Elephas maximus indicus: one gene and its partners. The protein of the gene in region 1 interacts with the protein of each later gene in a pairwise test. Links are inferred from orthologs where the notes say so. Each region holds a gene or a part of one and is shown in the gene's direction. Other genes may lie near its edges. The genes, in order: FXR2, NECAB2 and MEAF6.

Region 1 (5,545 bases):
TGGCCCTTCTAGCCACAGTCCGAAGGAGCCCTGGTGGTGCCGTGGTTAAAGCACAAGGCTGCTAAAAGTTGGCAGTTTGAACCCGCCAGTCACTCCACAAGAGAAAGATGTAGCAATCTGTTTCTGGAAAGATTTATGGCCTTGGAAACCCTATGGGGAAGTTCTACTCTGTCCTACAGGGTCACTATTGATAAGAATCAGTTTGAGGAGCCATAGTCTTTGTAACTCTCACCAAATTACTGGGTGAGGACAAATGAGGTGCTTGTGGCCCACCAAGGGGATTGGATAGCTTGCTAATAACTAAGTCAGGTGCATGGCACCCTTGTGGTGGGTGGGGCCATGCAAATAAGGTGTATGGAAACCTAACAAGGGGATTGGTCAGTTTTGCCAGGCTTAAAATGAGCCATCCCAGAGGTGGGAAGGAAGCATCTCACCACCACCAAGAAAGAAGAGCCAGGAGTAGAGTGTGTTCTTTGGACCTGGGACCGCTGCACTGAGAACCTCCTAGATCCAGGAGACAGAGATAGAGAGCTGTAACGGGAGCCCTGGTGGCACAGTGGTTAAAATGCTCAGCTGCTAAGGGAAAGGTCAGTGGTTTGAACCCACCAGCTGTTTTGCGGGAGAAAGATGTGGCAGTTTGCTTTGGTAAAGATCTACAGCCTTGGATATCCCTTGGGGCTCGCTATGAGTCAGAATTGACTCACTGGCAATTTTTTATCTTTTGTAATTTTTGCAGAAGCCGTTCGCCAGGCTGTTTCTTCCGTGGTACTGCTGGGTGGGCTTGAATCATCAACCTTTAGCTTAGTCTGAGCACAGACTGAACATCCAAAACCCAAAACCCGTTGCCATTGAGTCAATTCTGACAAATAGCAACCATAGGACAAAGTAGAACTGCCGGATAGGATTTCCAAGACTGTAATCTTCACTGAAGCAGACTGTCACATCTTTCTCCTGCAGAGCGGCTGATGGGTTTGAACCACTGCTCTTTTGGTTAGCAGTAGAAAGCTTAGCCACAGCACCACCTTAAACCAAACTTACCCACACCACCTGTTGCCGTCCAGTGGATTCCGACTCATAGTGACCCTATAGGACAGAGTAGAACTGCCCTATAGGGTCTCCAAGGAGCGGCTGGTGGATTCAAACCGCAGACCTCTTGGTTAGCAGCCGAGCTCTTAACCACTGTGCCACCAGGGCTCCAATACATTAAAAAAAAAAGGAAAAACCCGTTGCCATGGAGTCAATTCGGACCCATAGCGACCCTATAAGATAGAGTAGAACTGCCCAGTGGGGGCTAAATAAATGTTCACTAAATAATGAAGTGCACAACGCACGACTCTAATTTCTGTGCTCTTTAACTCACTTCTACCTAAATTTCTCACTTGTCTCAGCTCAAGAATCCGAAGTTTTCCTCATTCTACCCTTAAAAAAAAAAACCCTTACTCCCCGGCAATTCTTCCTATTTTGAATTTTCTCAGCATTTAGATATAAGATTTTGTGCCAATCTAAGTTCCATTTCCCAGTGTTGCCCTGAAATTATTCTGTAATCTTTCATTATATGCATGACCAGGATCTCCTTGTATTCTCAAGGCAAGAACCGTAACTCTTAAGTCTCCTATAGCACAAAGTTGTAGGAGCGTAAAAGAAATTCAAAACACGCTTGTGGACAGCGCACGCGCATCAGGCACTTTTTGGCATTCCGACCCATTTTTTTTTTTTTTTTTTTTTTCTTCCTTTGGAGCGTGCGCACCAAGAAAGACAAAAGGTGGGGAAAATGACCAAGCAGTCATTCAGGCGCATGCCCAACTCTAACATAGCCAAGCCAAGTGGGGCTCCTAGTGGTGAAGCGGCTGTGGTATGACCAGAACCAGCAGAAATCCAATCCGACTGAGTGAGCTTGGTCCCTCCCTTCCCATGATTGGCTAGCTCTCAGTGTTGTGGGGCGGGGAAAGGAAGAGATGGAGTGTGGAAGAGAGGGGGGCGGGGACAGTGAAGAACGCTTAACTCGTTCTGCGCAAGCGTAAGTCAGCGACCAGGAGGGGGCGTGAGAGAGTGAAAGGGAGTGTGGAAGTCCCGATGCGCTGGCGAGCGCGAGCGGGGTCGCCAGCCTTGACGCCTGCGCCGTGGCCCTCCCGGCCCCGCGCGCGGCGGGCGGGTGCCCGGTGCGCCTGCGCAGTAGGCGGCGGCGGCAGAGGGAGGTGGAGGCCGTGGAGCGGCAGCGGCAACAGCGGGTCCCGGGACTGAGGCGGCAGCGGGGGCGGCGGCGGGCGGAAGCTGAGGTGACGAAGGCAGCGGCGGCGGCGGCGGCGGCAGCCGTTTCCCTCACGGTGGCGGAGACCAAGGCGGCGGCGGCGGACGGGGAGCGGCCCGGCCCCGGCCCCCTGCTCGTTGGCTGTGGCAGGGCCGCCGTGGGGCCGGCCCGGCTCCCGCCCCCCGCGGCTCCCCCTCCGGCTCCTCCTCCGGGGAGACGCCGGGGGCCCGGCCCGGCCCGGACTCAGACCACTGCTGCAGCCGCCGCCGGGGCAGTCGGAGGCGGTGGCGGCGCCATGGGCGGCCTGGCCTCTGGGGGGGATGTGGAGCCGGGACTGCCCGTCGAGGTGCGTGGCTCCAACGGGGCCTTCTACAAGGTGAGGCGGCGCGCCGATCGGGGACACCTGCCTGTACCCCCTCCCCCAGCCAGAGCAGGGAAGAGCAGGGCGGGATCGAGCTCTGGAGCCGAGTCCTGACCCCTAGAACCTTAGACTCACGCTCCCACCCTCAGCTCTCAGGGGGAGACCTCTGGGAGTTAACCCTCTTCCTCTTGTTTTTGACCCTCTATCACACCCGCTTTTTATCTCATGTCAGAGAGAATGACTGTCAGGGCATTGTTGTGTCTGAATTTGTGTCTCTCTCCTCCCCCCAGAAAACAACTCCGTTTACCCAGCTTATTGACTTTTTCTGTTTCACAGTAGAAGACAGACCTTAGAATAGCATTTCTCCACAGCCTGAGCACATGTAGAATTCTCTTTCTTCTCCCTCCTTCCCCCATGGGAAGGCTGTCCCATATTAGATCGTTTCATCTTCCTCTGAGAGACCTCTGCCCACTGGCTCTGGGAAACCCAACCCATTTTCACCTTGTATTCCTGTTGCCAGCCTGAGGAGAAACGGTCAAAATTCATTTATGGTATTTGGCATCTTTGACCTCAGGAACTCTGGATTATTCCAATCCAGTTGCCCCCCAGCCATAAGGTGGCATCTTTTCCCAGGCCTCTCACCCCACCCATTTATCTTAGGGCCAGTTGGTCTACTCTTCTACCAGGAATTAACTTGCATTAGTTATTTCACTTTGACCTTACGTATGTTTAGATCATCCGTAGTTTTTCCATCTTCATGAACACTAAAAGGGTCCCTTCTGTTTATCCTCTTCTTAAAGATTTCCACTTTTAGAAGACTTTTGGCCAGCTCTCCTAATTTGAGAATCTGACAGCAGTCTTTTTGGGAAGGAGAAGGGGACTAGCTTTCAAAGACCCTTGCTTATTTCAGTCCACTCCCCCTCTTCCAGAGTTTGATTCCACAGAAGTTCTGAATTTTCAGTTTTTCCCATTTAGACTAAGCCAGAGGGAGACCCTTTTTGCTTCCCAAGAATTTTTCTTTGTGTAACCATTGTTATTCTGAACCTCTCTGGACCTTACGCCTGGGATTGTCTAGAGACTTCCCTGATTCCTGTCTGTATCTTTCATGTCGCCCTGAAGAGCTGGGAAGAGATATCTTCTCAGGACATCGCTTGTAGTGAAAAGAGCCTCTTTTGCTCCACTTTCCCTCAAATCTTTTCTCCCACAGTAGACATCTATACCTTCATGCCCTTGGAAATGACTTTCTCCAACTCCTCTGTGAAGTCATATCTCACTATAACTGGAAAGGGTCTCATATTTGCCCTTGGAGTGGATGGTTTCTGCCCCAACTTCAATTGATAGGTTCAGTGTACTCATTACGTCCCCACTCTAAATGCCTATCCATTTCTGCCTTACTCCCTTCACCAGATTTCTTTATATCCAGTAACTGTGGGTACCCCTATTTGTCTATCTTAACTTTCTCAATTCACTTTTTTGACTTTTATTGTAACATTTCTATACTCCTCCGTTATCCTCAGGAACCACCTTATTCCTAGCCAGCGGAAGGAAGCTCCAGCTGATCTCTTCTGTCATCTTTTTCTCCATACTTGCCTACTCTTGGGACATTTTCTTCAAGCCTGCCCCTGTAATAGCGTTTCTGTTTTCCTTGGCAGAAAGTCTCTCATTTCTGTCTGGTTCTGATAGAGCATACTTGCCTCTTATATTCTTTCCCCCGAATTCATATTACCGTTGCCGAAATACCCTTCCTCATTAGATGTTAGCCTCACTTCCCCTAGTCATTCATCTGGGTCCTTTCTGGGTTCCAAGAAAGGTGATTCTTAAATTGAGTCTGAGATGAAGCTGTGATGTCTGTTTCTGTTCTAGGAAGCGTGGGAGCCAAGCACAGCTGGGAAAGATTGAGTATCCAGTTCAAATTAACTGTATGACATTGTTGGAAAGGGAGATATTTCACTTTCCACATACAAGTGTTCAACAGAGAGTCTGTCTCTGGATCTTTCCCACTTCTTCTGTGGGCTATGGGAATGACAGGCTTTTTGAGTGAATTAGGGACAGGATACTTTGATTTAGAGAGTAGAATTTGGACTTGAGCTAGAAGTCAGGTGATGTGGCTACTTTAGCATTTGTTGCCCCAAGGCCTCAGTTAAAAACAATAAATCCCTAAATTCAGACTAATCTTTCCTCAGTTCTCAGTGCCATATAGATGCTTATCCATTTTGACCTTGCTACTGATTTAATATTCATGACTCAGCAAACTTTTGTGTGGGTCAGGGAGTATTTACACTTTTTCTAGAGCTATAAACTTAGGGAGGTCCGTTTTTCCTCTTTAAGAATTGGGTCCTACTGTTTTGATTCTCTTCTAAGAAAGATAGAGCCGCAAATGTCAGATCTAGGATCTAAGTTATCTTGTAGCTATCCCACCAACCCTTCCTGTTCTGTCAGAACTTAGTGTATTTTATTCTTAAAGTTGTACTCTTCCAAATAAGATACCTATTCACCTTCCAGGGCATAGCCATTCAACTTTCCAGATCTTGCCTTGATATCTTAATTCCTATTCTGTTTTTTTTCTCTAAAGTTTATTTTGTTGTTGAGTATATATGCAGTATAACATACACCAATTCAACAGTTTCTACATGTGTAGTTTAGTGACACTGATTACATTGTTCGAGTTGTGCAACCATTCTCACCCTCCTTCTCTGAGCCGTCCTTCCGCATTAACGGAAACTCACTGCCCCCTAAGGTTCCTATCCAGTCGCTGGAGTTGCTGTTGTCAGTCCAATCCCACGTAGATAGTTCTTAAAAGATCCTAATGCTCAAGGCAGACCTGTTTTTACTAGTTAAGCTAACTCCCATTCCTTTTTTAAAGAATATGGCATACTGAGCTTCAACACATGGTTTTTACCCAGACTCTCCCTGCTTTTCTCCTAGAACTTTCTTCT
Region 2 (5,545 bases), on another chromosome or scaffold:
TCCTGAGGCCCTGAGGAGGAGGGGAGATCTCAACAGCCCTGCAAAGATACCCCGGTGAGGGGGGCTTCTCCTGGCAGGAGACAGGAGGGGCCGTGAGCCCATGCAACTGGCCTCTGGGGATGAGGAGGAGGGGCGCAGGCTGCTCCGGACTCAGACTGAAGCCGAGGAGCCAACAGTGACCACAGGCCCAGTGCAGATCTGCATTAGCAATCTAGGGGAAAAGGTGCCCATGTGAGCTGGGATTACTGGGGCCAGCACCCCGACAGGTCCCAAATAAAACTAGCGCCTAACTCTACCCTGTGTCCAAAGACTCTATTTGGGGAGGTGGCTGGGTACCTGGGACCCTGCGCTTTGAGCCAGAGGCCTGTGGACTGGGGTGGGGAGAATACAGATGTAGTGGTTGTTAGGCGCCATTGAGCCGGTTCTGACTTGTAGTGACCCTATGTACGTCAGAACAAAACACCACCCGGTCCTGTGTCATTCCCACAGTCCTCATTATGCTTGAGCCCATCATTGCAGCCACTGTGTCAATCCATCTTGTTGAGGGTCTTCCTCTTTTTCACTGACCCTCTAATTTACCAAGCATGATGTCCTTCTCCAGGGACTGGTCCCTTCTGATAACATGTCCAAAGTACGTGAGACGAAGTCTTGCCATACTCTTTTCCAAGGAGCATTCTGGCTGTACTTCTTCCAAGACAGAATCATACATTCTTCTGGCAGTCTATGGTATGTTCAATATTCTTCGCCAACATCGTATCTCAAAGGTGTCAATTTTTCTTTGGTTTTCTTTATTCATTGTCCGGCTTTCATATGCAGATGAGGCAACTGAAAATACCATGGCTTGGGTCAGGTGCAGCTTAGTCCTCAAAGTGACATCTTTGCTTTTTAACACTTTAAAGAGGTCTTTTGCAGCACATTTGCCCAATGCAATATGTCATTTGATTTCTTGACTGCTGCTTCCATGGGCCCCAAGTGTGTGTGTGGTGGGGGGCAATTGTCAGGTGCAAGCAGGTGAGGGGGCAGCATGTTAGAAGATTTGGGGGAGGGTGTGTTCCAGGACTGATGTGCTGTGGAGGTCTTTGCAGCCCCTGCCTACATTCCCTGCCCCTCTCCCCGTCACACTGTCCTCTCAGTTCCTCCTGCCTACCATGCCCAAGCCTGCCACAGGGCCTTTGCACAGGCTGGTCTCTAGCCCATGACTTTTTCCTCCTCTCTTTAACTCCTTCTCTTCCTTTGAGTCACTTGGCATGAGGGTCACTTCCTCTAGGAAGCCTCTGCTGACACAAACCCCTGTTGGTGGTTCTCGTGGCCCATGGCACCACCACTTCAGAGCATCTCAGTTTCAGTTGTTCATTTATTCGTGGAATCATTCCAGTGTATGGCTCTGCACCAGGGGGGTGTTGTGCCCCGGGGTTGGATCCTGGTGCCTAGCACGAGACCTAGCACCTGGCAGGTATTTCTTTTTCTTTTTAAAAATTTTTATTGTGCTTCAAGTGAAAGTTTACAAATCAACTCAGTCTCTCATACAAAAATATATATACACCTTGCTATGTAGTGCTCTCCCCCTAATGAGACAGCACACTCCTCTCCACTCTGTATTTCCTGTGTCCATTGAGCTGACTCCTGTTCCCCTCTGCCTTCTCACCTTCCTTCCAGACAGGAGCTGCCCACATAGTCTCATGTGTCTCCTTGAGCCAAGAAGCTCACTCCTCACCAGGATCATTTTCTGTCTTACAGTCCAGTCCAATCCCTGTCTGAAGAGTTGGTTTTGGGAATGGTTCCTATCTTGGGCTAATGGAAGGTCTGGGGACCGTGACGTCCGGGTTCCCTCTAGTCTCAGTCAGACCGTTAAGTCTGGTCTTTTTGCGAGAATTTGAGGTCTGCATCCCACTGTTCTCCTGCTCCCTCAGGGAGTCTCTGCTGTGTGGCAGGTGTTTCTTAATGAATCCTTTGAGTGGGTGGATGAGTGGGAGTGGGAGAGGAGGAAGGTGTCCTGGGGCGTAGATTGGTTCTGGGCCTGTGTAATGGCAGAGGGAGGTCTGGGGGGCGTGCAATCCCTTGGAGGGCAAGGGTGGGTGCCAGGGAAGTGATGGGGCGGGGGAGGCCTGAGGCGTGTGAACGCTGAACCTAGAGCCGGCACCAGCAGAGGGCGCTGCGGGCTCGCCGGACACAGCGCTCCGGCCCCTGCGGCGGCGCCACGGGGGGAGGAGGGGCTCATGGGAAGGGGGCTCCGGAGGGGGGGCAGCCCCCAGGGACCCCCTTCCAGCAGCCAGACACCCCCGCGCCTCCTCCGCTGCAGCCCCCTCCCCGGCCTGCCGGGGTCCAGCCAACCGGCCCGCGCCCCCAGGCAGCCCCCGCCGCAGCGCCCGGCGGGGTGGGGGTGGTGGACCTGGCACGTGGCGCGGGGTCCGGGCCCCCCCGTCCCCGCCCGGCTGTCCCGAGTGTCCGCGGCCGCGGACCGAGAAGGGAGGCGGGGCCCGGCGGCGGGCGGCGCCGGGAGGGTCGCGCGGGCGGCGGGCGGGGGTCGGCGGGCTCCGGTGGCGGAGCGATGTGCGAGCGGGCGGCGCGCCTGTGCAGGGCCGGCGCGCACAGGCTGCTCCGGGAGCCGCCGCCGCAGGGCCGGGCGCTGGGCGGGCTGCTGCGCTGGGTGGGCGCCAGGATGGGCGAGCCTCGGGCGCCGCTGGCCCCCGACGCTCCCACCACCCCCGACGCCGACCCCCGGCCCGGCCCCGCCGCGCTGCGCGGGGGCACCGCCGTCATCCTGGACGTGAGTACGCGCGCCCCGACCCGCCGGAGCCCCTGCGGGTCCCGGCTGGACCTCGCGTCCCTCTCGGAGGGGACCCAGACAAGGACCTCCGTTCCTGCTGGGACCCCGCGCCCCCTCCTCTCTAGGGGGACCCCGACACGGAACCCTTTTCCTGCCTGGACCCCCGTGGCCCTCCTCTCGGGGGACCCCGAAACGAAACTCGGTTCCTGCCGGGACCCTGTATCCCTCCTCTCTGGGGGAACTCCGTTCCTGCGAGGACCCCGCGTCCCTTCTCTCGAGGGAGGAGAGCCGACACGGACTCCCGGTTCCTGCCGGACCTAGAGCCCCCCTTCTTGGGGGAGACGCCCTGCCTGCTGGGACTCTGCGCCTCGTTCTCTCAGGAAAGGGACCTCAACACGGAGCCCCTTGTTCCCCGAGACCCCTCCTCTCGAGGAATGGCCCCTGACACGGACCCCCTGTTCCCGCCAGGACTCAGAGCCCCCTCTTCTCTGAGCAGGGAACTCGTATCCATTCCCCTCGGCAAACCGAGGCAGGACCCTCACGCGGCCTCTCCGCTCCCCACAGCGTGAACCCCCCAGCCTCCCCATGTCCCTGACTGGTCTGCACCCCGAGTCCTCTCATCTCCCTGGACAGGAGTCCCCTTCACCCTGTGTCCGCTCCTACCTGGAGCGGGGTTTCCTCCTTGCCCCCTCCCTCCACTTCTCCGCTTCCCCACCTTCGCAGAGCTGGGGCCCTTGAACCTCCCTCCCGGACCTGGCCACCTCACTAATTTTGTCCTAGGCAATCCCCGATCCTTTTCCCAGACCTACACTCCACCTTTTACCCTGTCGCTTCCCGGAAAGGAGCCCCGGCCACCCCCAACCCGTCTCCTTTCTATCCCAGTAGCTACTTTTCTGAGACCCCCACAACCCCCAGCTTGGCCCCTCTTTCTTCCCGACGCAGGGCCCCCCAGCCCAGTTGTGTCATTCCTAATCAAAGACCCTTTTCCCCAACACAACCCCCTTGAAAGTGAAGCCCCTCCCCACCTAGCCTCTCTTTTCCGTTGATGCAGAACCACTTCCACCCGAGCCTGGACCCCTCCAGGGCTTCCATTCCCCGACCAGCCACTCTACTCCAAGCACCCAGCTGCCCTCCATTCCTGTCTCCACTCGTGCCCTTCCCTCACGTACCCTTCCCTCACGAGAGCCCTGTGCACTTCAGGAACCCCAGACTCATTCCTCACTCCCTCTCCCATGCAGTCTGGGAACCCATCCCCCTTGCCCCCATGGGGGAGGGAGGATTCCTCAGGATGGATGCCTGCTGGTGGGGAGCTTCCCCCTGTGGAGCATCTTGGAGGAATGGAGGGGCTTCATCAGAGGTCTCCCCCACCTCCAGTGACAGCATGGGGATGCCAACTTGTGTGTCCCAGTGAGGGCCCTGTGAGGTGCGTGGCTGGTGGGGGGTGGGGGTACCTCTGAGTGTATGAAGAGGTGGGTTGTGTTTCTGGGAGTGTGTGTGTGCGTGCACCCCTTTTTCTTCCCTCTGTCTCTCCTGGAACCTGTAGCCAGGTCTGGGCGAGGAGGGCTGGGCAGGGAAGGGACAGCAGGACTGTGAGTGCTTCTGTCTCTGGTGCCCCAAGCATACACTCAAACAGCCAGACACACACACACTCCAACAGCTGGAGCTTCTTTTCCCAGACCCCCAGAGCCGCTGGGCTTTGTCTATACTCCTCCTGATTCCAGTTCTCTGATGGTGATGATGGTGGGCTCTGAGCCTCCTCCGTTTGCTCATTTGAGAAATGGGGTGACTGAGCGGGCCTTCCCAGAGTGCCCTTGCAGACTCCCGGAGCTGACATCACTGGCTGTCACTCACTTGACGAGTCATGCCCAGAGCAGGTGCCTGCCCAGTGCCAGGCTCCAGGGGAGGCCTGGGACCCCCATCCTTGGGGGCTCGCACTGTTGGGAGGAAGGGTGTGAGGTGCCTAGGCTGATTCTGGAGGAGGGTTTGGGGGCGTCTGATCCCCCTTCAGCCTCAGTCACTGTGATTCCTGCTGGTCCCCAGGTGTCAGGGTTCAGTAAGGGGAAGGGGCGACCAGCCCCCATGGGGCAGCAGGGCGCATGTAAGCCCCCCCTCCAGCTGCTTCTTCAGCCTGGTACAGCCCCTGTGATGATAAAGGACAGTGCTCCAGGGATGGAGGGTGGCAGGGCCAGCTGGCTGGTGCCCCAGGGCAAGGAGGGAGGTGGGACAGCCAGAGGCCCCAGCCTCCTCCCCGCCTCTCTTGAGCACCACTTACCTACCCAGTCTAACAAGCTGATTAAGCTCAGAGGAAACTGAGGCTCAGGGATCGGCAGCAACCTGCCTGAGGCCCCTATTTTTTTCCCAGATCTGGGAAGTTAGGGTCTGCCCCTTCCCTGCAGTCGCACTCAGACATTAGTGTGCAAATAAGATCCTGAGGATTTGGATAAAAAGTAGGTTTTGACTTAGTGGGGCCAGGTGGGCCTGAGACTCTGCATTTCTAACAGGCTTCCAGGGGTACCCAGTGCTGCGGGCCTGACTCATTTCCAGGTGGAGCAGGTCTCTAGCACACAGGTTTCAACAATGGCCACACCCAGGAAGCCTTAAAACTCAAGACACCTGGGTCCCACCAGCGAGGCAGGGCGGGGGTGCAGAGGCTTGCAAAGCCCACCAGGCGATGGTCGATGGTCGCGTGTGGGAGGGATGGGCATCCCTGGCCTTGGTGGATGGGGCCAGGGCTCTGCCTCGGTGCGGATGTCGCCGGAAAGGCCGATGAAAAAGAGA
Region 3 (5,545 bases), on another chromosome or scaffold:
TTGGGTGGGATATCCTCAAGGTTGGATTTGGCTTTCATGAACCTGTTTTAATTTTCTTCAGCTTCAACTGAACTCGTTTATGAGCAATTGATGGTCTGTTCTGCAATCAGCCCCTGTCCTCATTATGACTGATAATATTGAGATTTCCCATTGTCTCTTTCCACAGATGTTGCTGACTTGATTCCTGTGTATTTCATACAGCGAGGTCCAGGTGTATAGTTGCTGTTTATGTTATTGAAAAAAGGTATTTCCAATGAATAGGTCATTGGTCTTGCAAAATTCTATCATGCAATCTCCAGCGTCATTTCTATCACCAAGATCCTATTTTCCAGCTACTGATCCTTCTGTTTCCAACTTTGACATTCCAATCATGAGTAACAATGCATCTTGATTGTATGTTTGATCAATTTCAGACTGCTGAAGTTGGAAAAAATTCTCAATTTTTTCATCTTTGGCATTAATGGTTGGTGTGTAAATTTGAGTAATAGTCATATTAACTAGTCTTTCTTGAAGGCATATGATATTATCCTATCACTGACAGCATTGTACTTTAGGACAGATCTTGAATTTTTTTTTTTATTATGAATGCAAAGCTGTGCTTCAATTTGTCATTCCTGGCATAGCAGAGCATATGACTGCCTGATTCCAAATAATCAATACCAGTCCATTTCAGCTCACCAATCCCTAGGATATCTGTCATCAAGCATTCCATTTCATTTCTGACAACTTTTAATTTTCCTGGATTCATACTTCATACATTTCATGTTCCGATTACTAATGGATGTTTGCAGCTGTTTCTTCTTTGAGTCATGCCACATCACCAAATGAAAGTCCGGAAAGCTTTACTCTGTCCAGGTCATTAAGGTTTACTCTACTTTGAGGAGGCAACCTTCCCAGTTGTATTTTGAGTACCTTCTGACCTGAGGGGCTCATCTTCCAGCACTGTATCAGACAATGTTTTGCCCATTCATAAGGTTTTCACTGGCAAAGTTTTTTTTTAGAAGTAGATTGCCAAGTCCTTCTTTCTAGTCTGTCTTAGTCTGGAACCTGTGCTGAAACCTGTCCACCATGGGTGACCCTGCTGGTATTTGAATATCAGTGGCATAGCTTTCAGCATCACGGCAACAAGCAAGCCACCACAGTAGGACACACTGACAGATGAGTGGTGTACTGTATTATGTATGTTCTATTACTACCTCCATTTTACAGATGAGGATGCTGAGACAGTGAAATTTAGTTACCTGCCAGAGGTGGCACAGCTTATGAGTGGACAGGTAAGATTTTCAACCAGGTAGTTCTGGCTCCAGTTTGTGCTCCCTACATAATACTTGTTTCTCTAAAAGGGTAACAGGGCAGCCATTGAAAGATTTTAACCACAAGAATGACATCGGATTCCATTTTGAAAGATCACCCTGGCCTCACTGTGGACAATGGATTGAAGGAAGCTAAGAGTGGAAGTAAGGAGGCTATTGGAAAAATGTAGTCAAAAATAGGGAGGGCCTGGATGAAATGGGGAGGTAGCAGAGGCGATAGACATGTGAGTGGATTTGGGAGCTCTTCCAGGGTCCACAGGGCTTGGTTTTTGGATCAGATTAGGGGGTAAAGGGAAGGATGATACCCCGGTTTCCAATTCTGGCAACAGGAAGGAGAGTGAAAATCATTCACTAAGGTGAGGAACACTGGAGCAGACTTAAGTTTGGCTTGGGACGTAGTCACCTTGTGGTATCTCTAAACCCCAGTTGTCAACTGACGGGTAGAGCTGCGGCTAGGAGAACGACCAGAAGAAGCCCGGACCCCTGGACCCTTCCAAGCTGGGTTTGCGAGCGCCAAAGGGCCAGAGCACCCCAGGGCCAGAGCACCCGGCGCCGTGGCGCGCGGCTCCGGAAGCCGCGCGCGCAGGCGCAGTGCAGCGGCGGGCGCCCCCTCGCGGGCCGGCCGCGGCGCGCAGGGACCGCCCCCAGCCTCCCGCCGCCGCCGCCGCCGCCGCCGCTGCCGCCGCCGCCGCCCGCCTCTGCCCAACATGGCGATGCACAACAAGGCGGCGCCGCCGCAGATCCCGGACACCCGGCGGGAGCTGGCCGAGCTGGTGAAGCGGAAGCAGGAGCTGGCGGTGAGGGACTAGGGCCGGGAGCGCCCAGGTTGAGGCTTCGCGCCTGCCCCCGCCTCCGGGTCCCAGGCCAGCCGCGCCAGGCCGTTACTCCGGGGACGCAGCGCGGCGGGACGAGTCCCGGGACCTGGGACCCAGCTGCGCATTCCGCGGCCTGCGGCGGCTCCATTTCCCGGTTGCGCGGGTCCGGAGCTGGGCGCCGGGGCCGGGCCTCGGGGCCCGGGGGCGGGGCGCGGAAGCCGGGGAGGGGGAGGGGGAAGAGGAAGGAGGGGGGCGTGGAAGAAGGAAGCGGCCGGGGCTGGGGGAGGGTGCGTGGGACTCGAGAAAAGGCGAGTGTCGGTGAGCTCTGGGGGTGAACGCGGTGTGTCCGTGGCCCTTGGAGGGGCGAGGGGGGCGGGCGTCCCCTTGATGTTTGAGGAGCGGGGGGCGGGCGTGCCGGTGGGCTGTTGAGTGGTTGGTTCGGGCTTGTCCGTGGGCTTTGAGGGGGATAGGGTACGAGGCACATGTGGGAAGGACACCCAGTCTGGCCTTAGGACGATGATAGGGGGTGTGACCTTTTGGGGACTAGGAGTAGATCTGTTGGATGGGATTTTTGATGGGCAAGGGTTTGGTTTGTTTGGGAACGTTTGGAAGGTGACAGATGAGGGGAGACTCCGGCTAGGGAATTGGGAGTTGTGATATTCATCCAGGGTCCCCTGAGCCTTGGTGGATAAGACACTCCTCCCCGCGTTTTGGATTGGGCATGGGGGAGGCTCATCTCACCTGCAGCTGCCCTTCCAGGTTTCCATAGCAACCGGCAGCCTAGTCCTGGCAGCCTAGTGGGCTGGCGGCCTTTCAGAGCCTGCGGGGAGGGGAGGCGTTGGCGCTAGAAGGCTCTTCAGCCATCCTTCTCTCTGGTGATACCTTTTGTGCCTGAGAGAGGAGACTGCCCATGTTCTGCTTCAGCGGGGGTTTTTCACACCTGGGGTTCCATGAACCCTTTAATGTATATGCAGAATTAAGCATGTATATGCATTTTTCTGGGGACAGAGTCTGTATATTCCATTCTCTTCTCAGTGTGGTCCATTACCCCAAAAGGTCAAGACTGCCTTAGACCGTAACAATCTGCCCCTGCCATTATCCTCTTTCTCTCCACAAGGGTGTTTTACTGTAGTTGAGCTTAGGTTTATAAGTCTCATATCAAAATTTCGGTTTGGTCAGACTTAATGCGTGCTTTTAAAAGGCATTATCCATTTCCCTGTTTTTCATCTACCAGGAAACACTGGCAAACTTGGAAAGACAGATCTATGCTTTTGAAGGAAGCTACCTGGAAGACACTCAGATGTATGGCAATATTATTCGTGGCTGGGATCGGTATCTGACCAACCAGAAGTGAGTGTCAGCAGCTGTAGTGTTCTGTAATGTGCCCTAGTAATATTTGTTTTTAGGACTATATGTTTCTTGGTAGTAGCTTTGTGGGCAGGAGATCAGGACTTGAACTCTGGCTCAGCCTCACTGCCTCACTGAGTAACCTTGGACAGATTCTACATCTGTAAAACAGAGAAAGCCAGCCTATGGCACAGGGTTGTGTGCAGTGTAAATGAAATACAACATGGGGAATAGTGTTTTCCACGTTTTAATCAGTCATGAGTTCCACCTTCACAGCTTTTGCCATACCTGGGTGCACACTGTACCACTATTTATGTAATAATATTATTATTTAAAAATTTCCCAACTTTTCGAAAATTTTCAAATCTATAGAAAAGTTGACAGAATAGTACATAAGCACTGGCTACCCTCCACCTACATTCTAGCATGTTGCCACATTGGCTTTTTCTCTCTTTGTAACATATATAAACACATACCAGTACCAAAACGCCAAACCCATTGAGCTGATTCTGACTCATAGTGACCCTGTAGGACAGAGTAGAACTGCCCCATAGGGTTTCTAAGGAGTGGCTAGTAGATTAGAACTGCGGACCTTTTGGTTAGCAGTCGAGCTCTTAACCACTGTGCCACCAGGGCTTGAAATACATATCTATACATAATTTAAAACAACTTTTTTTATTTTGAAATAATTGGAGATTCACAGGAAGTTTCAAGATGGTAGAGGATGGTCTGGTGTACCTTCACCCAGTTTCCCCCAGCAGTTACATCTTATGCAGCTACATTATAATATCAAGACCAGAAACTGACATTGATATAATGTGTGTGTATAGTTCTGTAGATTCGTGTAACCACCAGCACAATCAAGATACAGAACTATTCCATCACCACAGAGATCTCCCTCATACTCCCTCTTTATCATCATACCCACTCCCTCCCCCGTACACTGTTTATTTCCTAAACCATTTGAAAGTTCAGTACAGATGTCATGGTATTTTGCCCATAAGTATGTCAGCATGTACTGCCTAAGACTAAGACTGTTTCTCCTACCTGGCTGCAATTACCTCACCTAGAAAATTAACATTATGTTAATAGTGTCATACACCGTCTTTATTTAAATTTCCAATCATCCCCCGAATGCATTGTTACTTTGTTTAGATCCTGAATCCAGTCAGTGTTTAGTCATTCCATTTGGTCATTGTGTCTATTTAGTCTGTTTTAATTTAGGAGAGTCTCTAACCCTTGGTTTTTGTTTGATGACATTGTCTTGTAGAATGCCCCACCTTCAGGATTTTTGTTACTGTGATCTCATGAGAAACTCATAAACATTCTTGGCAAAAATGCTGCATATAGGTGATGTTGTGTACCTCTTGTTTAAAAAAAAAAAAAGGCAAATCCCTTGCAGTAGAGTCGATTCCGACTCATAGTGACCCTATAGGACGGAGTAGAGCTGCCCCGTAGGGTTTCCAGGGAGCAGCTGCTGGATTTGAACTGCTGACCTCTTTGGTTAGCAGCCGAGCTTTTAACCACTGAGCCACCAGGGCTCCTCTGGTGTTTGGTAAAAGAAAGGAAAACAAAACAAAAACCCAAACCTGATGCTGTCGAGTCGATTCTGACTCATAGCAACCCTATGGGACAGAGCAAAACTGTCCCCATAGGGTTCCCAAGGAGAGGCTGGTGGATTTGAATAGCTGACCTTTTGGTTAGCAGCCGAGCTTCTAACCAAGGAGCCACATACTGTCAAATTGTATCACTGGGGGTGCTGCTAAGTGTGGTCCTTTGATGTCTCTGTTGTAAAAGTTGATGTTGGCCCCTCTGTAGCTAACAGATTTTAGGTTATACTTTTAGACAGTGTGAATGAATATACTCCTCTCTCAGAATTTTTATTCAGTGGTTTATTTTACTTTTCTTACTGGTGTTCTGAAAGAAGAGCCTTCTACTTTTGTCTTCCCCTACCTTTCATTCATTCTCTTTCTCCCCCCCTCTCTGCCTGCCGTATCAGTGTTTTTTAGAAAACCTTTGTTTGAAATACATACAGAGACGTGCACAAATCATAAGCTGGGTGACTTCACA

Evidence for each region.
Region 2: the proteins of FXR2 (region 1) and NECAB2 interact in a two-hybrid assay, tested with the Homo sapiens proteins (2 studies listed by BioGRID and IntAct). The link is inferred for Elephas maximus indicus from reciprocal best matches to the Homo sapiens genes FXR2 and NECAB2.
Region 3: the proteins of FXR2 (region 1) and MEAF6 interact in binary tests that used the Homo sapiens proteins (3 or more experiments, as listed by UniProt). The two-hybrid records come from large-scale screens. The link is inferred for Elephas maximus indicus from reciprocal best matches to the Homo sapiens genes FXR2 and MEAF6.

The regions. Positions count from the first base shown.
Region 1 is NC_064837.1:13,170,550-13,176,094, forward strand, and holds the start of FXR2 (RNA-binding protein FXR2), read left to right. Parts: upstream 1-2,127; 5' UTR 2,128-2,543; coding exon 2,544-2,624; intron 2,625-5,545. UniProt on the Homo sapiens protein: mRNA-binding protein that acts as a regulator of mRNAs translation and/or stability, and which is required for adult hippocampal neurogenesis. Specifically binds to AU-rich elements (AREs) in the 3'-UTR of target mRNAs.
Region 2 is NC_064839.1:49,958,655-49,964,199, forward strand, and holds the start of NECAB2 (N-terminal EF-hand calcium-binding protein 2), read left to right. Parts: upstream 1-2,548; coding exon 2,549-2,767; intron 2,768-5,545. UniProt on the Homo sapiens protein: May act as a signaling scaffold protein that senses intracellular calcium.
Region 3 is NC_064821.1:79,101,746-79,107,290, reverse strand, and holds the start of MEAF6 (chromatin modification-related protein MEAF6), read left to right. Parts: upstream 1-1,958; 5' UTR 1,959-2,020; coding exon 2,021-2,110; intron 2,111-3,362; coding exon 3,363-3,478; intron 3,479-5,545.